Danio rerio: one gene and its partners. The protein of the gene in region 1 purifies or fractionates together with the protein of each later gene. This does not show direct contact. Links are inferred from orthologs where the notes say so. Each region holds a gene or a part of one and is shown on either strand. Other genes may lie near its edges.

Region 1 (3,979 bases):
TAAACTGCGCGCAGAAAAAAAACTAAACGTGCAGGCTTTATAAATCGTTGCACTCATATAAAAAATATAGAGAGTTTATAAAGTAAATGACTACCTTGACGTGCGTTCTTCATTGCATTTGGGCCGTTTTATGTCCCCAAGCAGAGCAGAGATTTACAGGCAAAACATAAACGCTGTGGTGTCGCTCCTCGTTTCCACTAAAAAATAGAAACGGTGTTAACTCACTAAATTTAAATAGCATCTAACATTTCATTTGTTTGACTGAAACAACAAAGCCAGACAGTTTTAACCGTGTGCATGCAATTTCAATGGAATACTTACTTTCAAAAAGCTGCACTCGTGTGTCAGTGTGCCATCTTATAAAGACAAATTAATGCAAATAATGCATAAACTTGTGGTTAATCATTTGTTTGAGCTAGAGTTAGTGAATGCACATTATTAAACCGTATAAGTGACATTTTCGTTTGTTTTGTTTGAGTAAATCAAACAACAAATATCATATTAGAATTGCAACCCAAATGGTAAACAAAATCAAAACCAGAAGCAATTTCAAATATCCAAATTTCAAAAATTTATTCATTTCAAACTGCATTGGAAAAAAAACTCATCTTGTAACTGTTATAATGATGTTATTAGTTAAAATATATACATGGAGCGTTGGCAACTGCGTACAGGCCACATTTTACAACTACGAAAAATGAAAGTTTTAAAATAAAAACTTAAAATATCACAGAAAATGTACAGAAAATTTACAAACCATGAGAAAATAAAGAACACAAACTTCATATATCTAACAGATGAAGAGTGGGAGACCGAAAATAATCAAGTGGAAATTAAAAAAAGCTGGAGAGTGCCTCTGTTCGTTCTCTCATTTAGAACTTAATAATAATAATAATAATAATAATAATAATAATAATAATAATAATAATAATGATTTATTACTATGTACCTTCAGTGAGAAACTCTTTAAATCCAGTTTTCATGTCAGCCTTTGCAAAACTTTGACGTAAACATCAGTTGTGCATCAATTTCTTGCACAATTTTTTATAATTTTTTTAAAACTTTCTGCTGTTTACAAACATTACATCTCGTTGTTGTTATTACGCTTCTTTTTTTAGATAAATACTGTACAAAAAGTCGATTGCAATAATAAAACATTTGATTCATTCTCCCCCCGCTTGTCAACCATGTCCAAATCTCATACACCTTTTGGAAACAAAACAGAACTGAAAAATCTAAATTAAAAAAATAATAAAATAAATCAGAAGAGAACAAAACAAAAACTGTGTGGAGTTCCTACCGTTCCTCTTTTTTTTAGTTTGTTTGTTTGTTTGTTTGTTTGTTTTTTAAATAGAAAGCAAAAGTTTTGTGTTCTTTCCTTGAGCTCTATACAACTTTTTCCCTCCCCAAAAGAAGTGTTCTGTACAAAAATAGTCCAGCAGTGTAGTAAAAAGAGTTCATTTTACATATGCGATAAGGGAATCGTGCCGTTAATCGTCGTACCGGGCACAGGTGCGCTCTGGTAATGTTGGGACATGTGCAGTCTGCTCTGAGCGCTCTGGTCCTGCACCTCCGCCCCGGGCAGGTACATACTGATCATGTCCCGCAGGTCCCCCGTTTGGCACTGTCCGGCCCGGGAATGAGACGACGACGTGACCACCGGCGGACTCGAACTAGACTCGGACTTGACCACCGAGCCCATGGAGCCCAGCGTCATTCCCGGCGTGCTTTGCTGCGAATAGGACATGCTGTAGGTGGGCGAGCCGTTCATGTAGGTCTGCGAGTTGGTCATGGAGTTGTACTGGAGCGCGCTCATGTCGTAGCGGTGCATGGGCTGCATCTGCGCCGTGTTGTGCGCGTTCAAACTCGGGTGCTGCGGGTAACCCAGCTGCTCCTGCATCATGCCGTAGCCTCCGTTGGTCCAGCCGTTCATATGCGCGTAGCTGTCCATCCTCTGGTTGACCCCGGCGCCCAAACCGGCCCCTACACCCACGCCGGCGCCCATGCCGTTGCCGCCCGGCGCCAGGAGCCCGCCCGGCAGGGTGTACTTGTCCTTCTTCATCAGGGTCTTGGTTTTCCTCCGGGGTCTGTATTTGTAATCCGGGTGTTCCTTCATGTGCAGAGCCCGAAGGCGTTTGGCTTCGTCGATGAATGGTCGCTTCTCGCTCTCGGACAGAAGTTTCCACTCGGCCCCGAGTCGCTTACTTATTTCCGAATTGTGCATTTTGGGGTTCTCCTGTGCCATTTTCCGCCGCTGTCCCCTCGACCACACCATGAAGGCGTTCATGGGTCTCTTGATGCGGTCCGGGCTGTTTTTCTGGTTGTTTCCCGAGGAGTTGGTGTTCCCCGTGCCCCCGGTGTTGGGCTGGGGCGCCGGGGGCTTCAGCTCGGTTTCCATCATGTTATACATTTAAACCGATTTTCTCGAAAGTCTACCCCACCAGCCGTAAAAATAAAAAATAAAGAAGTCCAAAAAGTGTGTGGAGAGGCTGCTGAAGTTACCTTAGCAGTTGGAGGTAACTTTGCTGGGAAAAGAAGCGCTCTTAGGTCCTGTTGTGCCCACAAACTTCTTTTCTTAGTCTTGAAGAATCAACACAAACTCGGTTTCCCTCCTCGCCAGAGCCCTTGTCAACTCCTGATACTTTTTGAACAAGTTAATAGACAACCATTCATAGAGCGACTGTCAGCGAATATAAATGGGTTTGTCGCTGACCAATCAGAGCGCGTCTGCTCCCTCGGTTTGCATAAAGGGGCGGGGTTACGGACGGTCAGCAGTGCAGCGCAGAGCCACAGGCAGTGGCTGTGAGTGTGTGTGTGTGTGTGTGTGTTTATGAGAGAGCTAAAGTGAGAATATTTCACACAAACCATTTTCCAATCAAACTCTGTATGATCTTAAGATTCTAAATAAACATTTAAAGTTTTATTATTAGTATTATTATTATTATTATTATTATTATTATTATTATTATTACTATTATTATTTATCGCTTTGTTTTTAGTGTAAGTTTGCGTATTCAACACATCAGTTAAACTCTTAAAGCACTGAAAATAAAATAAAGATTTTTTTAAGTTAAAACGGCAAGCTCATAATATTAAAAACTTCCAAAATAATGCGTGAATAAGCCGAATAAAATATAGCTATTTATTATTTAGTTCGCATTTAAAAATGAGCAGCGGCTTGTTTTATTAACGAATACAATAAAGTAAACGCAGGCGCACGAATTTAAAAGGTGTCATTTTAAAAACACTCGTTCTTGAGACATTATCCCAACTAACATGCCTGTATTTATGCCACTACACTTCAACCGGCTCAAGCTGAATGTGAATTAGAAAATGGAGGCCCGTCAATCATCACAAATAGGTAGTTTTGTTTCGGCTGTTGTCATTACATCACTCTGAACAAAAGCACGACAAAAGCCGACTACACTGACCATCTGAGTTGTAAGGATTTGTGTTATTAGGATTCACTCCATGAAGAGTGACAGGGGGAGAGGGTTTATTCAGCACAGCCTCCTTCAAAATAACAAGAGCACGGGCGCTTTGATTAAATCCAATTATTTGTATAATAACTAAAAACACAAGGAGCTATTTTTTGCCCAACACATCTATTCTCCGAGAATTACGATTAAAAGCTGATCATTCTTCCTGCAGAAGTTGACTTTACTCGACAAGAGTGGAACTAATATACAAACAGGCTTAATGTCAGGAGGAAAAAATGCCTATTTTATATTTTTCTTTTCCACGAAAGCATGTTTTATGTTTCAACAGCGTCCTCTTGCGGTCACACTGATACAAACTCGTGCTCCCTCAACATTTTCCACATGCACGCAGTTATTTTGGATTGCTTTATAAATAAGTTTTAGTCGCTGTACTTTTTATATAATTAGCGGGAGATAAAAAATAATAATTACACAAAACAAACAACATAAATTCCAACAATAATACTTATTTTTTTAGGGTTGCATGCATGAATAAATAA
Region 2 (4,012 bases), on another chromosome or scaffold:
GTGACATACAATGAAGCTCTGGGTCCAGTTTGCGCAGATTGGGTGGGACAGTGGTGATGAGGATTTTTACTGTGGCATCGGCAGAGCTGATCTCAAATCCAGTCTCGTTTGTCAGCATGGACAACACTGGGGAGAAGAGGAAAATGCATCAGTGAGAATGGCAAGCAAGTCGGATTTTTTTTCCCTCCCTGAAACTACAGGTCTGCCAGATTAAAGCCTATACTCACCCTCAGAAGGGTCCTGGGTTCGCAGGGTCTCAACAACTTTGTTTCCCAAGGCGGCAACAGCTTCCACTGAACAAGAACACGTAAACATTACTGATAAACCAAGTACACTTGGGCTAGGAGCAACATGTTGGCCTCATAGAAATCTCAAGACTTACAGGTGGGCAGAATCTTCAGGATAACCACAAGGTCAGCAACATTGTGTCCTGCAGTCATGGTGCCCTTTTTATAGGAGCCCACTTGTCTTACTTCCTCAATTTGCTGAAAAAGGGATTATCAAACTTTCATTAAATAAGTCTAAAAACATATACATAAAATATTTTGAAAGGCATTAATAATAATAATAATAATGTTTTACTGAAATATCTTACCACTTCAAAGTTTCCAGGTGCCACAATTAGGTTATCAATGACGTTGTTAATTTTGGTGACCAAGGACAAAATGGAAGCCTGTGACAAAAATGAAGAAAAAATTTGCTGTAATTTGTTAATAATGCAATCAAAAATTGGTTTGCTTTTGCACTCCTAATACAATATCACATTTTATGCATCTATTCTAGGTCAAAACCAAATGTGTAACAGCTCACAATCTTTAAAAATTAATAGAGGATGTTGAGACCTTATCGGATATATATAATATATATATATATATATATATATATATATATATATATATATATATATATATATATATATATATATATATATATATAGGGCTGATTCCAGCGTTATGGATGTGACATTTGCAGTAAAAATTCAAAACATAAATTTGCAGAGAAAGTATATTTTAACATTATATTGAATCATCCGTTTATATTTTCCAAAACAACTAACCACAGAGTTCTGGGATCAAAAAAATTCAATCTGTGAACATTTTTATACTTTAAATGAGGAAAATAAACAAGTGTTATGGATGTGACAAAAAAAGTCTGCGAGTTTACAGTATACAACTTATTTCGTTAAAAAAAATCTGTGAATTAAACTGCACAACCTAAAATAAATAATTCTCAACAAAAGGATAAGAGTTGGCTCTTTATAGAACAAAACTGATTTATTTTATTTTATTTTGACATTTTTGCATTTTTGAGGGAAAATCTTTGCTATGGATGTGACACTTTTTCGTTATGGATGTGACGGATGTGAAATTGCCATTTGTTTGACTTTGGTAAATCAAATAAATTAGTTTGAAAACATTGACAGAGACATTTTTAAGTATTTTTAAAGTACTGTAAAACACTTGCCTGCGCAAAAAATGTAGGAACGGTTTCGCTATTTTGGTGAAAAACATTTTTCTTTTCATGGCAAGGTTGACATTTTCATGGAATTGCTCATATATATATATATATATATATATATATATATATATATATATATATTACAATTCCATAATTTACTCCCACTCAAGGGGTACTAAACGTTAACGAATTTCTTCTGTTAAACACAAAACAAGATATTCTTAAGAATATGGGAAACCAGCATTTTTTGGTGTGTTCAACCAAATTAAGAAATTCAAACAGGCTTGGAACAAGTTGAACGAGTGTAAATGTCAACGACATTCATTTTTGGGTGAACTATCCCTTTAGCATGAAAGGGCAGAAGTCATGGAGTGTGCAGTTTTCATAATAGTTTATGACCATACCTGTTCAGAGGGGGTTGGACTGAGGTCTTGGTTCCTCTTCAACAGACATTCACTGAAAGCAGTCTCATCAGAGGCCGGCTTCACTCGAGGAAAGGCCATCTCACACTGTACAAAAGCAAGTTGTCATGAGCTCTGGGCTTAAAAAGGCTGTTTTTCCTCCCCACAAATCAGAAAAGCAATAAATGTACTTACAACATAGAAGTCAAATGGTATGTGAGGGACAAAGGGCCGATACCTGAGACAAGAGAAGTCACAGGTTACAAAATTATTACAATATAACCAAATTTAAGTAAGGGGGTCAAAACAATATGGTCATGAAATCTTACCCTTGGACCAAACCTCCGCGGGAGCCGAACCGGCCACCTCGGCCCCTGCCACGATCTCCTCTGAGAAATAAAAACGTAATTTCAGCAAGTGCAATACAAATAAATAAATAATGATGTCCAGCGATAACCCAAAATTGGATTTTTTAAAGTTTAATTTAAAACCCAAATAAAAAAATAAATATCACAAATTAGATAGCAGTATTGTTCGAATAAAAGCACGGCGTTCATTCATTCATAAACGCTCTCGGTTTTTTTTTCAGGAACACATCGTTTTGCAAATAACACAATATGTATAGAAAATCCAGAATTATGACTATAACCGGAAAAACTTTACTAATAAAAGTGTTTATTTAGTTACTGTATTGATTAAAAACCGACAAAGGGGCTAGCAGAACATGCTAACATGTTAGCTTAGCATCTTTGAAAAAAATGTATAAAATATCACAACATACAGTATTTTGCTATAATTCGGTTTATAACCTAATCAAAAAGATTGTTTAACTATAAATGATAAATCAGTTCGTACCTCATTGCGTAAGACGTTTTGTCAGTTTAACAGGACACACGCTGGTGAGAAGAGCTCTGCCTCCGCCTGCAGATAGCCGCCGAGTAGCTAGCTTCAGAAAACGGAAGTAACTTCATAAATCCAGCATAACCACCTAGAATAAAAGCCCGAAATAGCAGCCCACACAATAGTAAAAGTCTCAGTTGAATTAAGGTTTTTCGAGTTTATTTAGGGAGGAAATAACAGTAGCAGAAAGAGAAACTATCTAACATTCAGCTTTATTGTCTTTAAGTCAACTATGAAATTATTTAAAATACTATTTTTATGCATTACAATGTATGGATGACAACTACTCGCTTTTAAAACATTCTATTGTTTGGATAAGCTCAAACAAGTAGCATATAGCATACATAAAATTTTGTAAGGATTAAATCACAACATTCTAGATAGATTACCATAGTTTACTATGTTACTTTGAATGTTCGATCTGAATTAGCATGCAAGCATGACTTCTAAACAACATTATTAGTATCTAATTCACTGTGAACCATGTTGTACTTTGATAGTCATTTGCTGCTAATATGATTTCCCTATTTGGAATTTGCAAAGAATACTTTCTGAAATTATATTATTAATGAGAATATCTGAATTTCCGTATATAAAACCAACTTAACCTCTATCTAGACTGCTGCTGTCACATGGTTATACTTTGCTGAAGATAGCTATAGTTTTGTAAAGATTAGAAATATACAAACACAGATAATTTACTTCATTTGAAATAAATAATACACAAACAAACAAGCACATCACTAACAGGTCCACATTGTTCGACCCTAGCTATGGAACCCTATTAGAAATTTAAATAAACAAGAGAAGACAGTTTGGTCTGTATTATTTCACCCTTTTATGTCTTATATATTTAAAACCTTTAGGGATTAAAACAACAACAACAAATATTATTTCCATAAATAATCACTTCAAATGCATCTTGCAGGGGAGACTTGACATGTCAGGGGTGGACCTGTACAGTCCTCACACTGCCTTTATCAGAGAACACCAGACAGAAGTTGTGTTACATTCCACAGCCAATCAAACGCAGGAAATCCAAAGCTGTGCAGTTTTGCGCAAATTACGTAGATGTAATGCATGTGCTGAAGTAAGATAAGGGTTGTTTTTTAAATGTTCAGTCACCTCCACTGTTATTACAGCAATATGCCTCCATCATCACAACACATCCATCTACAGAACTAAATGCAGTGATAAGACAGAAGGTAAGAATATTTGTAATAATCTAATATGAATATTATCAGTTTCTTGTG
Region 3 (4,268 bases), on another chromosome or scaffold:
GCATATATATATATATATATATATATATATATATATATCTATATATATATATATATATATATATATATATATATATATATATATATATATATATATATATATATATATATATATATATATTAATGTCAAAACTGAATTTAAAAGGAGAAATGTTGTGTTTTCTCTGTTTTTAACACTTTTTAGACTTTTATTTTGTCAATAATTCCATCATATATACGATTCTCAATTTTTATAATTCCTGGCCAAATGCATTAGTGGGCTACCACATTCAAATCTTTATATGATTTTCACTCACATTCACTCATTATTAAGCAATCGATGATTCAAAACATACAAAATGCTTTTAGTTTAATATTCAGTCGTCACGTTCTAACTCTCTAATGCGAAAATAGCATACATCTTTGATCCGATTATGATGAAACAGTTTGAAAAATTGTGAATGTCGTGATAAAACTTCATTTCCCAGAATCCTCCACTCAGTCTTTGAATGATGTCATAACTACGCGACGGCAGACCTCACTTCACGTTCACATGGTGTTGAGTGAGCTGTTTCATTGCTATCGGATAAAATAGAGCACAAACTAATCTTTGGGTGAACTATCCCTGGCCTCTCAAACCTCTTGAGCTATAAGAAAAACATTACTTGTAATATGTGAATTATTAGTAAATGATAATACTTAACTCAAAGGGTTGGGTAAAGTAGTTTAATAAAATATCTATTTAAACTAAGTATTTTTGAAATATTCAAACAAATTATTTAAAATAAAGTGATGTTACATGGGTGAATGAAAATGCACATTCACCTTCATCATTATATTAAGTCTTTTTTTTAAATATTATAATATTTTGTCCAACTGTATTAAATATAAAGTCAAAAATTCCATTGACACTCAAATTAATTTGTTCACATTGTTAAACTTTTCTAAAAAAGAAATGATCATTTAAAAAAGTTACACATTTCTTATATATATATATATATATATATATATATATATATATATATATATATATATATATATATATATATATATATATATATATATATATATCAGTGTCAAAACCATTTTAAAAAGGGAAATGTGTTTCCTGTTTTTAACATTTACAAGACTTTTGTTTTGTCAATATAATAACATCATATATACCATTCTCAGTTTTCATAAGTCTTTTATTCTATTTTTTTTTTTTTTTATTAAAAAAAAAGTCCTGACCAAATGCATTAGTGGGCTACCACATTCAAATCTTTATATGATTTTCACTCACATTCACTCATTAATAAGCAATTGATGATTCAAAACATACAAAATACTTTTAATTTAGCATGTAGTTTAATAATAGCATACATTTTTGATCGAAATAGGATGAAACCGTTTGAAAAATTGTGGATGTCCTGATTCAACTACATTTCCCATAGTTCTCAACTCGGTCTAAATGATGTCATAACTCCACGACGGCATACCTCACTTCACGTTCACTCGGCGTTGAGTGTGGCGTTTCATCGCTATCAGACAAAAACAGAGCGCAAATAAAGTAAGTATGGTGATTTTTGTAGCACTACTTCTTTTTTGGAGTTTACTATGTTTTGAAATTTCAGGTCGGACAGTGAGAAAACAGTGACAGAGCGAGCGCGCGACGTTTTTTCAGTGTCATTCTGCGACATGTGGCGCGTACATGCTCCATAAACGAGTATTATCCCAACATTTATACTATTTTTTTGACTCAATTTGTAGCGTGCAGGCATGTTATTTTTAACGCTCTTTATTTCTGGACATTTGAGTTTAAACAGTGAAGTGTGGATGCTAAAATAGAAAGTGCACAGATCTGCTGTACTCACACGTGGTTTGGAAATCAAACTCGCTCCGGGTTCAGAAGTTCATACAGAGTTTATATTACAGAGCATTCAGTCTCTGTTTGAATACTATGGCTTGTGTGATGTGCGTTTTTAAAATAATTCAAAGCAGAGACCGTTTGTATTCTTGCATTTCTGCACTTCCTTTTTTTAATTAATTGATTAATTAATTATGTTTAGTTTGTTGTGATTCTAGCAAAGATGGCTGACAATCAGGAAATGTCTCCCCTGGAGAAGAAGGTGGCGGAGCAGATTGAGGTGAGATGATGATAATCATGTAAAATATGCTGATTTCCCATCGCCAATTCAGATGAATGATATGATTGTCCATATTTCTGTGTGTTCAGTATTATTTTGGTGACCATAATCTCCCAAGAGACAAGTTTCTGAAGGAGCAGCTGCAGTTAGACGACGGATGGGTCCCTCTGGAGACCATGCTAAAATTTAATAGGTAAGTTTAATAGTGAAAGTTCAGTCATTCATTTTCCTTCGGCTTAGTCCCTTTTTTGTTTAACAGCGGAATGAACCGCCAATTTATCCCCCTACTGAAAAAAACCCAGCTTAAACCAGCCTGAGCTGGTTTTAGCTGGTTGACCAGCCTGGTTTTAGAGGGGTTTTGGCCACTTCTTAGCCTGTCAAGTTGGAAAATGACCAGCTAAAATCAGCATGACCAGCCTGGTTTAAGATGGACAAAGCTGGTTTTGGCTAGGTTGGTCAAGCTGCTTTTAGCTGGTCATCTCCCAGCCAGACCAGCTAAGACCTGGCTGGAAACCAGCCTGGAAGTGGCCAAAACCCCTCTAAAACCAGCCTGGTTGACCAGCTATAACCAGCCAATCAGCCTAGGCTGGTTTAAGCAGTTTTTTTAGTAGGGCATGTGTTTACACAGCGCATGCCTTTCCAGCTGCAACCCAGTATTGGGAAATACTCATTCACACACACACACTATGGACATGTAAGTTTATTCAAGTCATCTATAGTGCATGTCTTTGAACTGTGGGCACCCGGAGGAAACCTACACCAACATAGGGAGAACATGCAAACTCCACACAGAAATGCCAACTGGCAAAGCCTGGACTCGAACCAGAGACCTTCTTGCTGTGAGGCGACAGTGCTAACCACTAAGCCACCGTGTTCCCCCTTAAGAGTGAAATTATTTATTGGAAATTATATTAAATATTTATTTAAGGGCTGAACAATATATTGTTTGAGCATCGATATCGCAATGTGTGACTATTGTGGATACCACAGGATTATTTGTTAAAGAATAAAAGATAAAGATGATATGATGATATTATATAATGATGACCATGTTATTTTATGTTTGATTGTTCAGTTTGTGTATTCGAATACTGATAGAATTCCCAGAAAACCATATGGCACTGTTTATTTCACTCGTATTTTTGCTCTGTCATATTTATATATGCTTGCATTTATTACATTTTTTTGCTGATTTCTGCATATAAAAAGACTTGATCACCCCAGTCAATCTAAACTCGTGAAATCTTCCTGAATAGAGCTATTTACATCATCTAGCAAAATTATATTCATATCGCAAATGTCAGATTTTTCCCCGAAACATGAAGTGAGGGTGGGACATGGAGTATCCCCGGCCCTTTAAAAAAAAAAAAAAAAACCCCAATAATATTTAGTTTTATTACTGTTCAAGGGTGCGTTTCCCAAAACCATCGTTAGCCATTAAGGTCGCAACTTCCGTTGTTACAAACATAGTTTGTTGATTTGCTGTTTCCCAAATCCGTCACTCCAACGAACATTCGCAAAATTGAGCGCTCGCAACCACACCTCTGGAGCTGTATAGAAACAGTTCCTGGCTGTGTTCTATTCCCGCATATCCCCCCTATGCCCTATTCATTTAGAACAATCTAACATTTAAAGTTGGAATTATTAAAAATAAAGCATTAAGGTCATCACTCTTGGGTGTAATTTTTCTTTTGAACTATTTTTACAGTTCAGTTTTAGCAATCTTCATGTTTACACTTGTACTCTCTTCGCAGTGCACTTTGAAAACATTGATGTCATTTGGAACACAGCCTCATGATGAAAGCTATAGGTGACCTATTATTTAAAAGTGGAATTTATGTTAAGTCTCCAAAGCTTGTAAAAAACAAACAGCATTTGTTAATTCTTTTAATTTATAGTAGGTTATTTATTATTTAAGTATCTGTACTGTATATGACATGGGCCTGCTTGTTAGAATTTTCTGCAGTGGTTTACACGTGTCAAATTGTAAATGTAGACTTAAAAAAAAATAAATAAATAAACAATATCCTACTAAATAATAATCATAATCATCATTAATATTATTATTAAAGTATGATTTTTTTTCATTTCTATTTAATATTACATATCATTTTATAATAAATAGCCTCATTTATTTATTTATATGATTTATATATGATATTAG

Evidence for each region. Proteins that work in one complex are often made in the same cells at the same time.
Region 2: the proteins of sox2 (region 1) and ilf2 purify together in Homo sapiens (affinity purification with mass spectrometry; 3 studies listed by BioGRID and IntAct, with this or other methods). This does not show direct contact. The link is inferred for Danio rerio from reciprocal best matches to the Homo sapiens genes SOX2 and ILF2.
Region 3: the proteins of sox2 (region 1) and ssb purify together in Homo sapiens (affinity purification with mass spectrometry; 3 studies listed by BioGRID and IntAct, with this or other methods). This does not show direct contact. The link is inferred for Danio rerio from reciprocal best matches to the Homo sapiens genes SOX2 and SSB.

Annotation. Positions count from the first base shown.
Region 1 is NC_133197.1:39,474,674-39,478,652, forward strand, and holds sox2 (transcription factor Sox-2), read right to left. Parts: upstream 2,634-3,979; 5' UTR 2,411-2,633; coding exon 1,463-2,410; 3' UTR 548-1,462; downstream 1-547. UniProt on the Homo sapiens protein: Transcription factor that forms a trimeric complex with OCT4 on DNA and controls the expression of a number of genes involved in embryonic development such as YES1, FGF4, UTF1 and ZFP206. Binds to the proximal enhancer region of NANOG.
Region 2 is NC_133194.1:40,099,856-40,103,867, forward strand, and holds the start of ilf2 (interleukin enhancer-binding factor 2 homolog), read right to left. Parts: upstream 2,810-4,012; 5' UTR 2,720-2,809; coding exon 2,715-2,719; intron 2,249-2,714; coding exon 2,189-2,248; intron 2,098-2,188; coding exon 2,055-2,097; intron 1,968-2,054; coding exon 1,863-1,967; intron 674-1,862; coding exon 596-673; intron 486-595; coding exon 383-485; intron 294-382; coding exon 228-293; intron 127-227; coding exon 10-126; intron 1-9. UniProt on the Homo sapiens protein: Chromatin-interacting protein that forms a stable heterodimer with interleukin enhancer-binding factor 3/ILF3 and plays a role in several biological processes including transcription, innate immunity or cell growth.
Region 3 is NC_133181.1:4,429,517-4,433,784, forward strand, and holds the start of ssb (lupus La protein), read left to right. Parts: upstream 1-1,459; 5' UTR 1,460-1,527; exon of another isoform or gene 1,528-1,931; intron 1,932-2,026; coding exon of another isoform or gene 2,027-2,047; coding exon 2,048-2,104; intron 2,105-2,193; coding exon 2,194-2,297; intron 2,298-4,268. UniProt on the Homo sapiens protein: Binds to the 3' poly(U) terminus of nascent RNA polymerase III transcripts, protecting them from exonuclease digestion and facilitating their folding and maturation.